2 linked regions of the Callithrix jacchus genome follow. The protein of the gene in region 2 purifies or fractionates together with the protein of the main gene of each other region. This does not show direct contact. Links are inferred from orthologs where the notes say so. Each region holds a gene or a part of one and is shown on either strand. Other genes may lie near its edges.

The links. The genes of interacting proteins can lie anywhere in the genome.
Region 1: the proteins of SPAST (region 2) and NUP85 purify together in Homo sapiens (affinity purification with mass spectrometry; 3 studies listed by BioGRID and IntAct, counting the BioPlex papers as one, with this or other methods). This does not show direct contact. The link is inferred for Callithrix jacchus from reciprocal best matches to the Homo sapiens genes SPAST and NUP85.

What each region holds. Positions count from the first base shown.
Region 1 is NC_133506.1:131,120,545-131,128,490, forward strand, and holds the start of NUP85 (nuclear pore complex protein Nup85), read left to right. Parts: upstream 1-2,808; 5' UTR 2,809-2,884; coding exon 2,885-2,917; intron 2,918-7,946. UniProt on the Homo sapiens protein: Essential component of the nuclear pore complex (NPC) that seems to be required for NPC assembly and maintenance. As part of the NPC Nup107-160 subcomplex plays a role in RNA export and in tethering NUP96/Nup98 and NUP153 to the nucleus.
Region 2 is NC_133515.1:82,910,517-82,918,320, forward strand, and holds the start of SPAST (spastin), read right to left. Parts: upstream 4,683-7,804; 5' UTR 4,398-4,682; coding exon 3,983-4,397; intron 1-3,982. UniProt on the Homo sapiens protein: ATP-dependent microtubule severing protein that specifically recognizes and cuts microtubules that are polyglutamylated.

The DNA of each region.
Region 1 (7,946 bases), on a different chromosome or scaffold from region 2:
TACTAAAAAATAAAAAAGTAGCCAGGCTTAGTGGTGTGTGCCTGTAGCCCCAGCTACTTGGGAGGCTGAGGCAGCAGAATCACTTGAACTCAGGAGGTAGAGGTTGCAGTGAGCCAACATCACTTCACTGTACTCCAGCCTGGGCAGCAGAGTGAGACTCTGTCTCAAGGTAAAAAAAAAAAAAAAAACAAAAGGCCTGGAACCATGGATCATGCCTGTAATCCCAGCACTTTGGGAGAGCGAGGTGTGTGGATCACAAGGTCAGGAGTTTAAGACCAGCCTGGCCAATATGGTGAAACCCCGGTCTCTACTAAAAATATAAAAATTAGCTGGATGCGGTGGCACATGCCACCAACCAGTACACATACCAACCAGTACTCAAGGGGCTGAGGCAGGAGAATCAGTTGAACCTGGGAAGCAGAGGTTGCAGTGAGCCATGATCATACCACTGCACTCCAGCCTGGGTGACAGAGCAAGACTATGTCTCATACACAAAAAAAACTTAGGCCACATCTTCAGCACATTGCCTCTGGCTTGATCTGAGATGGATTCTTCTTTCCTGAGACAGAGTTTCTAAAAAACAAAACAAAACAAACAAAAAAAAGAGACAGAGCTTCACTCTTGTCACCAAGGCTGGAGTGCTGTGGAGCAATCAGCCAACTGCACCCTTTGCCTCCAAGGTTAAAGCAATTCTTCTCCCTTAGCCTCCCAAATAGCTGGGATTACAGGCATGGGCCACCACATCTAGCTAATTTTGTATTTTTAGTACAGACAGAGTTTCACCATGTTGGTTAGGCTTGCTGGCCTCAATCTCCTCATCACTTTGAGTGATTCACTGGCCTCGGCCTTCCAAAATGCCAGGATTACTGGCATGAGCTGCTGTGCCCAGCCGATCTGAGATGGATTCTAAGCCTGACTTTGGAGTGACTTAAAAATGATTTCTGGTTTGATTCTTGTGCAACAGGTATGCTTTATTTTAGATGATTTTTAATTCTAGAAATACTTTGCTCTTTTTCTCTTAATAAGTTTCTATTATACCTCAAGTTGGAGTATCGCCTGCATAATTGAAGACTTTTCCAGAGTTAAATACAATTTGAGAGTTAACCACTCTAGAGAGAGGAGGAGGAAAAGAGAGGGCAAGGAGCCACTGATGGAAGAGTGAAAAGAGAAAAATAATTTGTAAACGAATTGTTTTTCCAATGGTATTCCATTAGGATTATCTGAAAAAGGATACATAAACGATTTCATCAAAACCTTATTCTTTGAAATCTATAGAGAGGTTGAGGAAGGAAAAGGTCCATATATAGTATATGTAGTCAAAATACAGAACAAGGATAGCTCTGTTAGCTGTAGTTTTCCTTTTTCACTATTCTATTAATAAGCCTATTTGAATGATTGGGTAAAATGACTGGTATATATCAGTCTTAGACCAAAGAATATTGCCAATACATTTTCCTCAATGTTACCTAGCTCTTGGTCAGACAATCTAAGTACTTTTGTTATCTTCAAATGTCATTTTGTCAGCCTTAAAAGAAAAATAATAAAGGAAGTATAGCACTAAGATTTGTTTTTTTTTTTTTTGAGACGGAGTTTTGCTCTTGTTACCCAGGCTGGAGTGCAGTGGCGGATCTCGGCTCATCGCAACCTCCGCCTCCTGGGTTCAGGCAATTCTCCTGCCTCAGCCTCCCGAGTAGCTGGGACTACAGGCGTGCACCACCATGCCCAGCTAATTTTTGTGTTTTTAGTAGAGACGGGGTTTCACCATGTTGACCAGGATGGTCTCGATCTCTTGACCTTGTGATCCACTCGTCTCGGCCTCACAAAGTGCTGGGATTATAGGCGTGAGCCACCGCGCCCAGCCAAGATTTGTTTTTTTTGAGATGGAGTCTCACTGTGTTGCCCAGGCTGGAGTGCAGTGTCGAGATCTTGGCTCACTGCAACCTCCACCTCCCGGGTTCAAGCGATTCTCCTGTTTCAGCCTCCCGAGGAGCTGGGATTACAGGCATGCGCCACCATGCCCGGCTAATTTGTATTTTTAGTAGAGACAGGGTTTCTTCATGTTGGTCAGGCTGGTCTCGAAGTCCCGGACCTCACGTAATCCGCCCGCCTAGCCCTCCCAAAGTGCTAGGAGTACAGGCGTGAGCCACTGCGCCCGGCCTGTATTCTAAGTAGAGACGAGGTTTCCTCATGTTGGCCAGGCTGGTCTCGAACCCCTGACCTCCAGTGATCCGCCCACCTAGGCCTGCCAAAGTGCGGAGATTAGAGGAGTGAGCCACCGCGCCCAGCCTTCAGTGGTGTCGATTTTGTCCGGGTGCTTCTTGTATGTGTTCTAGTGTGGGAGTGGCGGCGATTGCTTTCCAGCACAAATCCGTTTGACTGTCGGGGTTTGGACAAGCAGCTGCGACGACACTAAAGTGGAGACCAGGATGGGGCGAGGACTCCCAGCGTTGGTAGAGGTTGTACGCTCACTGGGGCCCTAGCGCTGCCCGAGTTCGCACCAGCGCCGCAAAGCTCACGCACGCGCAGTCGCACCGTCTCTGGCCCCAGGGTCCTCCCGCCCCTCCCGCCGTCTCCGGGGGCCTTTTCTCCGCCCGGCGCGGGGATGTCCGCGGTGCCGCCTGATCCTGTGAGCGCGGTACCGTGAATGCAGTCTGCCCTCGGCGCTCTTCTCCCTGACGTGCTGTCGAGGCCAGAAAGGAAGGACCCGCTCAGAGGACCGCAGACGGGTGGCTGAGAGGAGAGGCCCCCGCAGCATTGAGGGTTTGGGCTTGCAGGCGCTGCAGGAGGCGCCCAGCGGGGTCCTCTCTTAGCCAGCTCTGAGCTGGAGGCCTGAGCGGGAAGCATTGGCGGTGGGGCGACTTCCAGGAGGCTGGAGTGTAGCGCTATGGAGGAGCTTGATGGCGAGCCAACAGTCACTGTAAGGGCGCCCCGAAAAGGCTTGTTCGTCCTTGCGGCTCCAGAACTGCGTCTGCTTCGTTAGTTCAGGCTTGTCTGCTTCCCTCCTGGCCGCTAGGCGCTCGTCCCCTACCCTTGACTCAGTTGCCACTGTCCGAAGGTCGCAGTGTTAACGAAGTGCCCGCCCTCGAGTTGCAGTGGTTGCAGGGTTTCTGCCACCAGTCACAAGTCCTGGCCCCGAAGGTCCCACTCCATCCCTTTCCCTCCTTTGTCTTCCTGGCCTTTCTATTTCCCTCGCTTTTCCTCTTGGGCAGTAGAGTGGGTTCAGCCCGAGCAGAAGTATTGATGTTTTTCTTCTAGCTATGTTAAGCTTTGCAAGCGGTACATTGAGCTTCTGCCTGTGTGGTCTAAGGTTTATTGAACGTATTTATTCTCTGGGGAGACTGTTAAAACGTGCGCTTTGAATGAAGATACACCCAGACTTTGTGTGAGCAACATGGCTGTTTATTCACCTGGGTGTGGGCGGGCTGAATCCGAAAAGAGTCAGCGAAGGGCGGTGAGATAGGAGTTGGTTTTATAGGTTTGGGGTGGGCAGTGGAAAGTTAGAGTGACTTGTAGCCACGGATGGGGAGGCGGTGTCCCTCACCCTAGGGTTAAGGTAGGGGGACATAAGAGGAGCTATTCAGGAGGTATGGGTTCGGGGAGGAGGGCGCCAGTGAGGTGTGGCTATAGCCCAGGAATAGTTAAGGAGGCAGACAATTTTGCTAGGATATCTTGGCCTAACAGAGGAATTGGACAAGTGGGACTGATTAGGAAAGAATATGGAAAGTGGTGCTGGCCTAATTGACACCAGACTTGGGGAGTTTTGAGAGGCCTGGAGACCTTGCCGTCAATTCCCACAACAGTTATGGAGGCCAAGGAGACAGGTCCTTGAAAAGAAGGCAGTGTGGAGTGTGTGGCTCCGGGTTGATTAAGAAGGGGATGGACTTGACCTCCACCAGTTACTCGAAGCGCAGTGTTTGTGATGTTCCAGGGAGCCTCTGAGATGTTCAGGCAGCATCAGTCTTCAGCCACCAAGCCAAGGAGATCAGGGAAAGAGTCAGCCTGAGGGCTCCCGGGTTGGGCTCCTGGAGACTTAAAGACAGCAGTTTGAGTCTGGCAGTCCTACCTCCATTGGGGTCCCACACAGACAGGACATGGCTTAGGAAGAATCCCGGTTGGGAGGCTGAGGCGGGCGGATCACGAGGTCAAGAGATCCAGACCAGCCTAGCCAACATGTTGAAACTCCGTCTCTACTTAAATACAAAAATTAGCTGGGCATGGTGGCGCGCGCCTGTAGTCCCAGCTGCTTGGGTGGCTGAGGCAAGAGAATTGCTTGAACCCAGGAGGCGGAGGCTGCAGTGAGTCGAGATCCCGCCACTGCACTCCAGACTGGCGACAGAGTAAGACTCTGTCTCAAAAAAAAAAAAAAAAAAATCCGGGCTGCAGGCATTCCTTGGCTCAGTGGCCAGGTTCTCGGCATTTGAAGCAAGGCTTTGGGGAAGGAGGTCCTGAAGAGAAGTCTGGACGCTGTGGGTTTGGTGGTCTGAAACTTCTGTGAGCCGAAGAAGAAGTAGCTGTGGTCTATCTTACAGAGGAGGCAAGCATTTGTAATTCCGAAATACGCTGCCCCTGGGTAGCTTTTTCCCTATTATTTAACACCTTAAAGGTGAGGTCAATTAATTCCTGTTGTGGGGTTTGAGGGCCAGATTCTAATTTCTGTGGCTTTTTGTAATGTTAGGGACTCAATGGGTGATAAAATGCATATCAAGCATTCTTCAGGGGTGAGAGTAGAAGTAAGGATGACATTTAAGTCACTCCAGGCGAGATTACAGGCCTGGGTTAAGTATTGGAGGATCTGATGTAAAAGAGCCTAACCATTGGCTGATTTGGGAAAGGTCGGATAAAGAGAAAGGAACCTGCACCCTAACTATGCCTTTGGCTCCAGCCACCTCTCGAAGAGGGAATTGTCAGACAGGGGTGGAGGAGGTAGCCACAGGACTAAACTGCAAGCTGGGGCACTTATGAGGTGGCGAGGTGACAGGAGGGGCATAAGGAAATGGGTTGTGGGCAGAGGAAGAGGAGGAAAGCTCTAGGGGTTGGGCTTAGGTCCTGGATTAGGGCCTGGTTCCGACAGGCAGGGAGGAGAAAGGTCGGAAGGGTCGATGGACAAGGAGAATTCTAGGTTGCTGGCAGAGGCAGGAGGGGCAGATGGAAGGGAGAGAAGGAAAATTTGGGATGGGTTGCATTGAGAACAGAGATTAGGGAGAGATTGGTGTGTAAAAAAAAATGCCTGGACGTAGAGAATTTGCCCATTTTACTACGAAAGTTATCTAGATCCTGTAGGATAGAGAAATTGAAGGTACCATTTTCTAAATGGACAATGGACATTTAGAGCCATTGTCCAATTTATATCATGGTCAAGCAGTATTGCAGAAGAAAATAAGATGCTTAGGTTTTAGGTCAGGTGATAGCCGGAGAAGTTTGAGGTTTTTTAGAACGTAGGCTAAGGGAGAGGAGGGAGGAATGGAGGGTAGGAGTTTGCCCATAGTTTAAGAAGAGCGGGGCTCGGCGCGGTGGCTCATGCCTGTAATCCCAGCGCTTTGGGAGGCCGAGGCAGGTGGATCACGAGGTCAAGAGATTGAGACCATCCTGGTCAACATGCTGAAACCCCATCTCTACTAAAAACAAAAAATAAGCTGGGCATGGTGGTGCGTGCCTGTAATCCCAGCTACTCAGGAGGCTGAGGCAGGAGAATTGCCTCAGGAGGTGGAGGTTGTGGTGAGCCGAGATCGCACCATTGCACTCCAGCCTGGGTAACAAGAGCGAAACTCTGTCTAAAAAAGAAAAGAGCGGCGGAAAAAATAAAAAATTAAAAATTAAAAAAAAAAAACAACAAAAAAGACGAGCGGTGGAGACAAGGAAAGTGAATGCATGACCAAGCAGTTTAGCAGACATCCCAGACTAAATCTTGGTCTGAACCTGGGGTGAATCGGTCAAAGGGGGCGTCCCCCGTATTGATCTATCACCTGTGAGTGTGAGTGAGTGACCAGAGCAGATGTCTCCGCAATGATCAGTCACTGATGGAAGACTGTCTTCCCAGTTCCGTGACCTACGTAGGATTTTTTTCTGGTCATGAACCTCACAGAAAGTCCTGTCTTTCTTGTCTCTGATGAAAGGGAGAGAAAAATGAAACTGAGGGGAGACAAAGCTTGACAGGTAGCATGAAGGGCTAAAGAGAAAAGTTGAGGCAAACCACTTACCTGAGCTGAGAGGATGGTGAGTAGATCTGTGGGCTGGTCTGATGAATCTAGGTCATAGGTAGGTCTCTCCATGGAGGGAGCCCAAGGAGAACAGGACCGGGGTTTGGTCTCCTGTAGTAGTTCCCCCATCCCAGGTTTCTGGCACCAAATGTTAAAATGTGCACTCTGAATGAAGGGACCCCGCCCCCCAAAACAGCCTTAGTGTGTGAGCAGCATGGCTATTTATTCACCTGGGTGTGGGCAGGCTGAGTCCGAAAAGAGTCAGTTAAGGGCTGTGGGAGAGGAGTTGGTTTTATAGGTTTGGGGTCAGCAGTGGAAAGTTACAGAAGTTACAGTTTAGGGCGGGGTTTTTGCAAGCTGAGATGGGGGTCTTAAGTTTGCAAGCTGCGAGGAGGTTGTAGAGTGCGGAGTCCAGGTTGACCTAGACCAGGCTGACCAAGGTTGGTTACAAAATCCAATGGCCTTATCAGTTGGGGCAGGAATAAGGAACAATACAGAATGTCTCAAAGGGGTTGATCATTTCTTCTTCTTTTCATGGTTTTCCAGTTATTTCAGATTTTCCAGGAACTCATCTGGAGTCACAGAGGTTAACATGGCATCCATGGCGCTGTCAGTCAGCCTAAAAGACCTTACAGACTATTCCCGTTTTATCGCTGTGCATTCAATTCCATTTGAACTTTGAAGAGAGCATGTCAAATATGGATAATCTGTGATGTGTATACAGAAATTCATGGGCTTTATGTAGGAGATACCTACTGTTTTCGCTACTTGGAATGCTCTTCTCTTCCCTCTTTTTTTTGTTAACTGAAAAGTGACTGAGGCAAGCCTCAATCAGTAAAGGTTTATTTAGCTAAGGTTGAGAATCCAACCAGGAAAAAACACAGGTCACAGGAGAATGTGTGACTTGTGCTTTTGCCAAAGATAGGTTTGGGAACATCATTCCTTAAAGAGGAAGGAGCAGCTGGGCGCGATGACTCATGCCTGTAATCCCAGCACTTTGGGAGGCCGAGATGGGTGGATCATGAGGTCAGGAGTTCAAGACCAGCCTGGCTAACATGGTGAAACCCCATCTCTTAAAAAAAAAAAAAAAAAAAAAAAAAAAGAGGAAGGAGCTAGCAGGAGGGGGAAAATATGGGAGGCTAGGCAATGAGGAGGCAAATGGTTACATTCTTGTGAGTCTCTGATTAGCCTCAGTAAATTTGCATTTTACCTGTGAAAAGAGGGAGTAGACAAAACATTTATGCATTCATCTTAGGTAGGTAGAGGGATGATTTCTTATCTTTTCTTTTTTTATTGGGACAGTCTTGCTCTCTTGCCTAGGCTGGAGTGCATTGGTGCGATCTCAGCTCTCTGCCACCTCTGCTGTTCAAGCAATTCTGCCTCAGCCTCCTGAGTAGCTGGGATTACAGGTGTGTGGCACCATGCCCAGCTAATTTTTTTTTTTTTTTTTTTTTTTTTTTTTAGTTGAGACAGGGTTTCACCATGTTGACCAGGCTGGTCTTTAACTCCTGACTTTGTGATCTGCCTATCTCAGCCTCCCAAAGTGCTGGGATTACAGGTGTGAGCCACCGCATCTGGTTGATTTCTGGTCTTGTACTTGTGAAGATAAGCTGGTAGCTGACGTTGTCAGGGTGAGAATCAACAGCCCTCATTTTTAGGACTAGTTTATAGGAGGAGGTTTCTCCTGAAAAATGTTAAGGCTCACAAGGAATTTCCTTGTGAGCAATTTCTTAGGGAGGCTATCTGGGG
Region 2 (7,804 bases):
TCTCAGCTCACTGCAAACTCCACCTCCTGGGTTCAAGCAATTCTCCTGCCTCATCCTCCAGAGTAGCTGAGATTACAAGTGCCTGCCACCACACCCAGCTGAAGTTTTACCTTTTTTTTTTTTTTCCCTGAGAAGAAGTCTCCTCTGTCACCCGGCTGGAGTCCAACCTCAGCTCACTGCAATCTCCCTCTTCCGCATTCCAGCAATTCTCTTGCCTCAGCCTCCTGAATAGCTGGGACTACAGGCGCATGCCACCACTCCTGGCTAATTTTTGTATTTTTAGTAGAGACAGGGTTTCATTATGTTGGCCAGGATGGTCTCGATCTCCTGATCTCATGATCTGCCAGCCTCAGCCTCCCAAAGTGTTGGGATTATAGACATGAGCCACCGCACCCGGACAGTTTTACTTCATGTTTAAAGGAAAATGAATCTGTAACTAATCTGTTTCAGTCTGAACTAATTTAATTTGGCATATGACAGCATCAGTTGTTGAACTCAAATGAAACTAATGAGTTGTCAATAGCCCATTCTGATGTCCACTTTAGAAATCAAAATATGAATTTTTTAAAAAGTTGTGAACAGAAACATTGTCAGTAGAAAGAGTATGAAATATGCAGCATACAGATCAATGAAAATATTGCTGAAGTTTCTCCAGCCTGGCCAACATAACAAGATCCAACCTCTAGCCAAAAAAAAAAAAAGAGGATCACTTGAGTCTTGATCACTTGAGGATCACTATGATAACTTTCCACTCCAGTTTGGGTAAGAGAATGAGCCCCTGTCTCTAAAATAGATAAAATAAAATAATTTTTTTTACATATTTAATGTATCCAACTGAAAAATAAATTTTTTTAGCTTAAGTATGTTCTCAGAGAAAAATAAAAATGTTTAAGAGGATTTAAGTATAATAGACATATATATCTATGTGATACTCAAAGTCACCAGCTTGAGACCTGAGGTCTGAATTCTATTTCGTTTATTCCTTACATGGAACTGCTATTTCTTCAAATCTAAGAGCTGAGGGTCTTTTATTTTTCATACCTAGGTTTTCCTTAATCTCTCCTTTTATCCTACTTCCCAGCTCTTGTCACCCAACAGTGTTAACTAAAATTTCCTTGTGGCTGGGCACAGTGGCTCACACCTGTAATCCCTGCACTTTGGAAGGCTAAAGCAGGCGGTTCACTTGAGGTCAGGAGATTGAGAGCAGCCTGGCCAACTTGGTGGAAACTCGTCTCCACTAAAAATACAAAAATTAGCCAGGCAGGATGGTGCGTGTCTGTAGTCCCAGCTATTAGGGAGGCTGAGGCAGGAGAATCACTTGAACCTGGGAGGGAGGCAGAGCTTATGGTGAGCCGAGATCATCCCACTGCACTCCAGCCTGGACAACAGAGCAAGACTCCATCTCAAAATAAACAAATAAACAAATAAATAAAATTTCCTTGCATGTTCTGACATTCTCTTCCTAAATACAACAACTAAAACAATCTTAGAGACAGGGTCTCACTCCCGTCACCCAGTCGGGAGTGCAATTGCGTGATCTCAACTCACTGCATCCTGAACAACCAGAGCTCAAGTGATCCTCCTACTTCAGCCCCTCAAGTAGCTGAAATTAAAGGCATCGCCACTGCGCCCAGCTAATTTTTGTGTTTTTCATAGAGACAGGGTTTCACTATGTTGCCCAGGCTGGACTCTAACTCATGGGCTCAAACGATCCACCCCCTCAGCCTCCCAAAGTGTTAGAATTACAGGCATGAGCCATGGTGCTCAGCAAAAAATGATCTACTATTTTCTTTTCTTTTCTTTTCTTTTTTTTTTTTTTTTTTTTTTTGAGACAGAGTCTTGATCTGTCACCTGAAGTGGGATTATAGGTGTGAACCACCTTGCCGGGCCCAAAAAATGATCTACTCTTAAACATGCTCTTCTATTCTAAAACATCACAACCATTTTCATTCTCTCCAAGGGATCCTGGATGTTCCTAAGAGGTGATAAAGAATGGAGCTTGCTGGCCGGACATGGTGGCTCACACCTGTAATCTGAGCACTTCGGGAGGTCAGGCAGATCACTTGAGGTCAGGAGTTTGTGACCAGTCTGACCAACATGGTGAAACCCTGTCTCTACTAAAAATACAAAAAATTAGCCGGCCATGGTGGGGTGCACCTGTGGTTCCAGCTACTCGGGAGACTGAGGCAGGCAAAGTGCTTGTATCTGGGAGGCGGAGGTTGCAATAAGCTGAGATCACACCACTGCACTCCAGCCTGGGTGACAGAGTGAGATTGCGTCTCAGGAAAAAAAAAAAAAAAAAAGAATGGAGCAGTTAACAAAAACTTTCTTTCCACAAACACATAGTATTCTTAAAAGTTATCTCCCTCCTTGACCTCTGTCCAAAACCATGAATACATGCTTCTTTCCCTATATCCTACTTCCCACTCCCGGGCCCCACAAAGAAAATAGGTTTCAACAAGATTGAAATTCTAGAACAGTTTTTGGTGTTGGTAGTAGAGAGAGACACTATGAATGAAGTGCAGATTGCTCCTGTTTTCATTAATGGACAATGCAAGTGAGCATCTAATTGAGGTGTGGGAGAAAAGTGGGTTTCTTAGGCAGAGGGAGAAGCAAGCTCTCAGCATACTCGAAATAAGGATAAAAGGAGGGAATTGTAAAAGTGAGACTTCTTATTTCACTTACTTTCCATAAAAATTTTTTCATTAACTATTAGCATAGGTTTGGAATGACCTGCTTTATGTTTTGAGCCTCATTTTCTTCACCTCTAAAATGCTGATACCAATAATACCTTCATCTCACAGCGTTATTGTGAGGATTAAATAACACTTTTCATGGTCTGGGATAGTTGCTATTTTTTTTAAAAAAAGAAAAAAGATAACACATACAAAGCTAATAGCACAATGCCTGGCACATATACTAAAAAATGTTAGCTTAAAAGAAACATGAGGCCGGGTGCGCCTGTAATCCCAGCACTCTGGGAGGCCAAGGCGGGTGGATCACCTGAAATCAGGAGTTGGAGACGACCCTGACCAACACGGGGAAACCCCGTCTCTACTAAAATTATAAAATTAGCCGGGCGTGGTAGCGAATGCCTGTAATCCCAGCTACTCAGGAGGCTGAGGCAGGAGAATCGTTTGAACCCGGGCGGCGGAGGTTGCAGTGAGCCAAGGTCGCGCTATTGCACTCCAGCCTGGACAACAGTGAAACCCCGTCTCAATAAAAAAAAAAAAAAAACCCGAAGGATGTAGTATCCTTGCTTTCATTCAGAAACATATGTTTTAGGTTTCATTGTAAAGTGATATGTTTACATTTATGCAATTCATTCATTAAATATTTCAACTTGGAAATTAAAGGCTATCTTTGAAAACTGCTTTAAGTAAAATCAAACCAGGGGGAAAAGTTTTATGCTAAATGTAACTACACTGAAAAGCATTCAGGAATCATTGTACAGATAAAATGATTATCTTGATAAAAATGATGCAAATTCAACTGCAGTCATATGCAGCTATTCCTTGCAAAACTGTCATTTGTTCTTTCTGACACTATAGTACCCTGCTTTCATTAAAAGCCTGTAACAAGGCACTGCTTCTTCAGTATCAAAACCTTTTGGAAACCTTGGCTCGGAGGAAGCCGCACACTCTTTACAGTGCTAAGAAAGGATCGGTGTGGTCACTCTAGGACAACTGTCACTGTCATCAGCACGTCTGGGTGTCTCACAGTGACTTGGGTCATGCAGAAGTGTGGGGGAAGGCTGGTGTCTGAAACAAAGTCGATGGTTAGGGCGCCCTGAAAGGGGAGAGATTTTGACTGAGAATACTAGATGAGGCTCTGATCTACGGGGATGGTCTCCCGGGGCAGATCAATTCCGGGGGTGCACCGTCCCCTCCCACAGGAAAGGGACGCAGGTGTGGCACTCCCACGGCGACCCCACTGCCTTCTTCCCTGTGCCGCCGCCCCCTCCCCCAGCCCCCCTAGTTACCTTTCTCGTCTTCATCGATGCGCAGGGCAATGGAGATGTACTCGAAGGCCTGTTTATGGAAGACTCGGACGCGCTCGGCCTCTCCGCCCGGCACCGGCGCCGGGGGCGAGGCCGACGCCGGTGCTGGCGCGGCCCCGGAGCTCCTCTTGGCTGCCATGAGGGCGCGGGAGAAGCGCTGGCAAAGCCACAGGAAGAGGAGCCCCAGGTGGAAGGCGACCAAACGCAGCAGCGCGAAACCTACGAACAGCGGGTAGGAGAAGTAGTACAGGTTCCGCTTATGCGGCGACTCGGGCGAACAGGCCCGCCCGGCGGCGGGAGGGGCGGGGGCCAGGCAGGGGGGCGGAGGCCTGGGAGGCACCGGGCTGCAGGCGCTGCCGGAGCCTTTCTTCTTTCCTCGTCCACCCGGAGAATTCATTCACAGCTCTCACTGCCGCCGCCGCCATAACCCGCCTCCCGCAGACCAACGGGAACCAACCAAGCGACAGCAGCGGCCACTGCGACGGCTAGGGCCACAGACCCCCGCCTGTCCGCCGGCCTCCGGCGCTCCGCACCGCCGCGCGCTGCCCGCCGGCCCCGCCCCTTTCTCCTTCCTCGGCCAGGAGCACAACCCCTTCTTCCTCCTGCAGTCGGTGGATTGGGCCCCTCCCTCCTTGCCGCTGTCCTCTCTGCCGCTTGGTGGCTCCCAGCGGCGGCCGCGCACGCGCACGTCCGTCTTCCCGTGTTTTTCTCCGGCGCGCGCGCGCACGGCGCGTCTTTGTTGACCTGGGCTCCTGTACGCGTGTGCGGTGCCGGCCCCTCCTCCTTCCCTGCTCGACTACAATTCCCAATGTGCAGTTCAGCTCACGTCAGCAGCCCCGAAGAGGTACTGCCAGGAAGCCTTGGTAATCGATCCACCGAAGGGGGAATTGCAGCTTGGGGTCGCTCTGCTGGTTCGCAGGGCTCCTTTCTCAATGTCATCGTTTTCTTACATTTCTTTCATCTTTTTCTACCAGTCGACCTAAGTCTTCTCCGAATGATAATTGACCCATCTCAGAAGCAATGGGTATCAATCTGGGAATTAAATTAGCCAGAGGTGATGGAGGGCTCGCTCCTGTAGTCTCAGCTACTTGGGAGACTGAGGCAGGAGAATAGCTTGAACTCGGGAGGTAGAGGCTGCAAGTTAGCTGATATCGCGCCACTGCACTCCAGCCTGGGCGACACAACGAGACTCCGTCTCCAGAAAAAAATAAAATAAAATAAAAAATTTAGAATTAGGAATTATTCGAGAGGAAAGCAATTGTGAAGAGAGAAATTTCAGATTACTGCAAACAACAACAACGAAAATGTTAGCTCCATGTGATCAGATCAACGAACCCAGGGGTTTAACTAAATTAGTGCGTGTTTAGATGTCTAATCTGAAAGGTAATTTATTTGAATAAGGGAAATCTTAGATTTTACGTAGTAACCATCCCATAGTTTACTGAAAAATCCATACTTTTTTTTTTTTTTTTTTAATGTACTCAGCATCCCTTCCTTTGGGAAACTACCTGCTTGTCTTTGCTCCCTGTATTCTAATGAGCTGCAAGCACAGAACCCAGGCCACAAAGGTGGAAACAAACACTAGGTCAGTCAGACTCTCTGGGGACTTAGAATCTTAGCTGGAGACACACTGAATAAAAGGTAGTTGGAATTGAGTGCTCTTAAGAGCGGGTTGATCAATGCATCACATTGAGCACCCCAGAGCTGCTGGGTTCCTGACTGGTCACTTGGTTATGTAACCTATCCAATACACTAATCAATCTATTTCTCTCTTCGTCTCTTCTTTTCCTCTTCCTTCCTTTTGTCTTTTCCTCTCTCTCTGTCTCCACATCTTTTTTCTCTTCTCTTTCTCTTTTCACTTGAGTTAGCTATAATTATTTCTTGTTTCCTAAAACTAAGGAAGCCTAACTGATACAAAGACTTATTTGTAGTGTGAGGTTTACAAATGCCCCATGAGAGCTTCTAGCTTCCAAGAATCTCCACATTCTGCCACAGCTTTATTTTTTATTTTTTGAGACAGAGTCTCACTCTATCACTCAGGCTGGAGTGCAGTGGCACAAACAACGTGGCTCACTGCAACCTACACCTTCCTGACTCAGGTGGTCCTTCCCCCTCAGCCTCCTGAGTAGCTGGGACCACAGGCACACACTACTACACTCAACTTCCTTTTTGATTCTTTGTAGAGCAAGGGTTTCACCATGTTGCCCAGGCTGGTCTCCAACTCCTGGGCTTAAGCAATCCACTTGCCTCGGCCTTCCACAGTGGTGGGGTTACAGACGTGAGCCACCCCATCGCACCTGAAGCTACTTTTTTTTTCCTTTTCTCTCTTTTTTTATTCTTTATTCTTTTTTGGGTTTTTTTTTCTGTCCAGAGTCTTGGGGTTAAGTAGCCACGCAGCTACTTTTTTACTTTTTTGTTGAGACAGGGTCTTGCTATGTTCCCCAGGCTGGCCTCGAATTCCTGGACTCAAGCAATCTGCCCGCCTTGGCCTCCCAAAGTGCTGAGATTACGGGCATGAGCCACAGCCAACTTTACTTAATTATTTCCCACCAATAATGCCCTACAAATATTGCAGGCTATTGCAAAAATCACCTACTCCCTGTTTCCCTCTTATTGCTCCCCCTTCTCTGTGCTTATGCTAGTTCCTCATTCTGAAATATCCTCTTTCTGCTGGGTGCGGTGGCTGACACCTGTAATCCCAGCACTTTGGTAGCCAAGGTGAGTGGATCACCTGAAGTCAGGAATTCGAGACCAGCCTGGCCAACATGGCAAAACCCCTATACTAAAAATACAAAAGTTAGGCCAGGTATGGTGGCTTATGCCTGTAATTCCAGTACTTTGGGAGGCCGAGGTGATCAAATCACCTGTGGTCTGGATTTCGAGACCGACCTGGCCAACATGGTGAAACCCCATCTCTACCAAAAATACAAGAAAACTTAGCCGGGTGTTGTACTGGGCACCTGTAATTCCAGCTACTCAAGAGCCTGAGGCAGGAGAATTGGTTGAACCGAGGAGGCAGAAGTTGCAGTGAGCCAAGATTGTGCCATTGCACTCCAGCCTGGGCAACAAGAGCAAAACTCTGTCTCAAAAAAAAAAAAAAAATCTGATTCAATTGCTGAACTCCCACCAAAAAACTTGACTTATACTGTATACTCTATTACGTGTATACATATATCATGTAAACAAAAACTATATTACTTAAATATGCAATTTAAGAAAAACAATAAGCAGCATTTTGTTTAAGAAAAATGAATGTTTGGGAGGTCGAGGCAGGTGGATCACAATGTCAGGAGTTCAAGACCAGCCTAGCCAATATGGTGAAACCTCATCTCTACTAAAAATACAAAAATTAGCCAGGCGTGGTGGTAGGCATTTGTAGTCCCAGCTACCCGGGAGGCTGAGGCAGGAGAATCGCTTGAACTCAGGACGTGGAGGTTGCGGTGAGCCAAGATCATGCCATGGCATTCCAGCCTGGGTGACAAAGAGAATGACACTCTGTCTCAAAAAAAGAAAAAAGAAGAAAAAAGAAAAATGAATGTAACCAACTCCTTGAAGCACTCTGTGAACTCTTCCCTAATCTCAAAGTCTTGTCACTCCCTCTAGAGGAAGCCACTATCCTAAATTTTATGTTACTCATTCTTGTGTCTCATTTAGGTTTGCAGTGTATTTATGTATTTCTTTTTTTTTTTTAATTCTTTTTATTTTTTTATTTTTTTTAAAGATGCAGTTTCACCATGATGGCCAGGCTGGTCTTGAACTCCTGACCCAACCACCTCGGCCTCCCAAAATGCTAGGATTACAGGT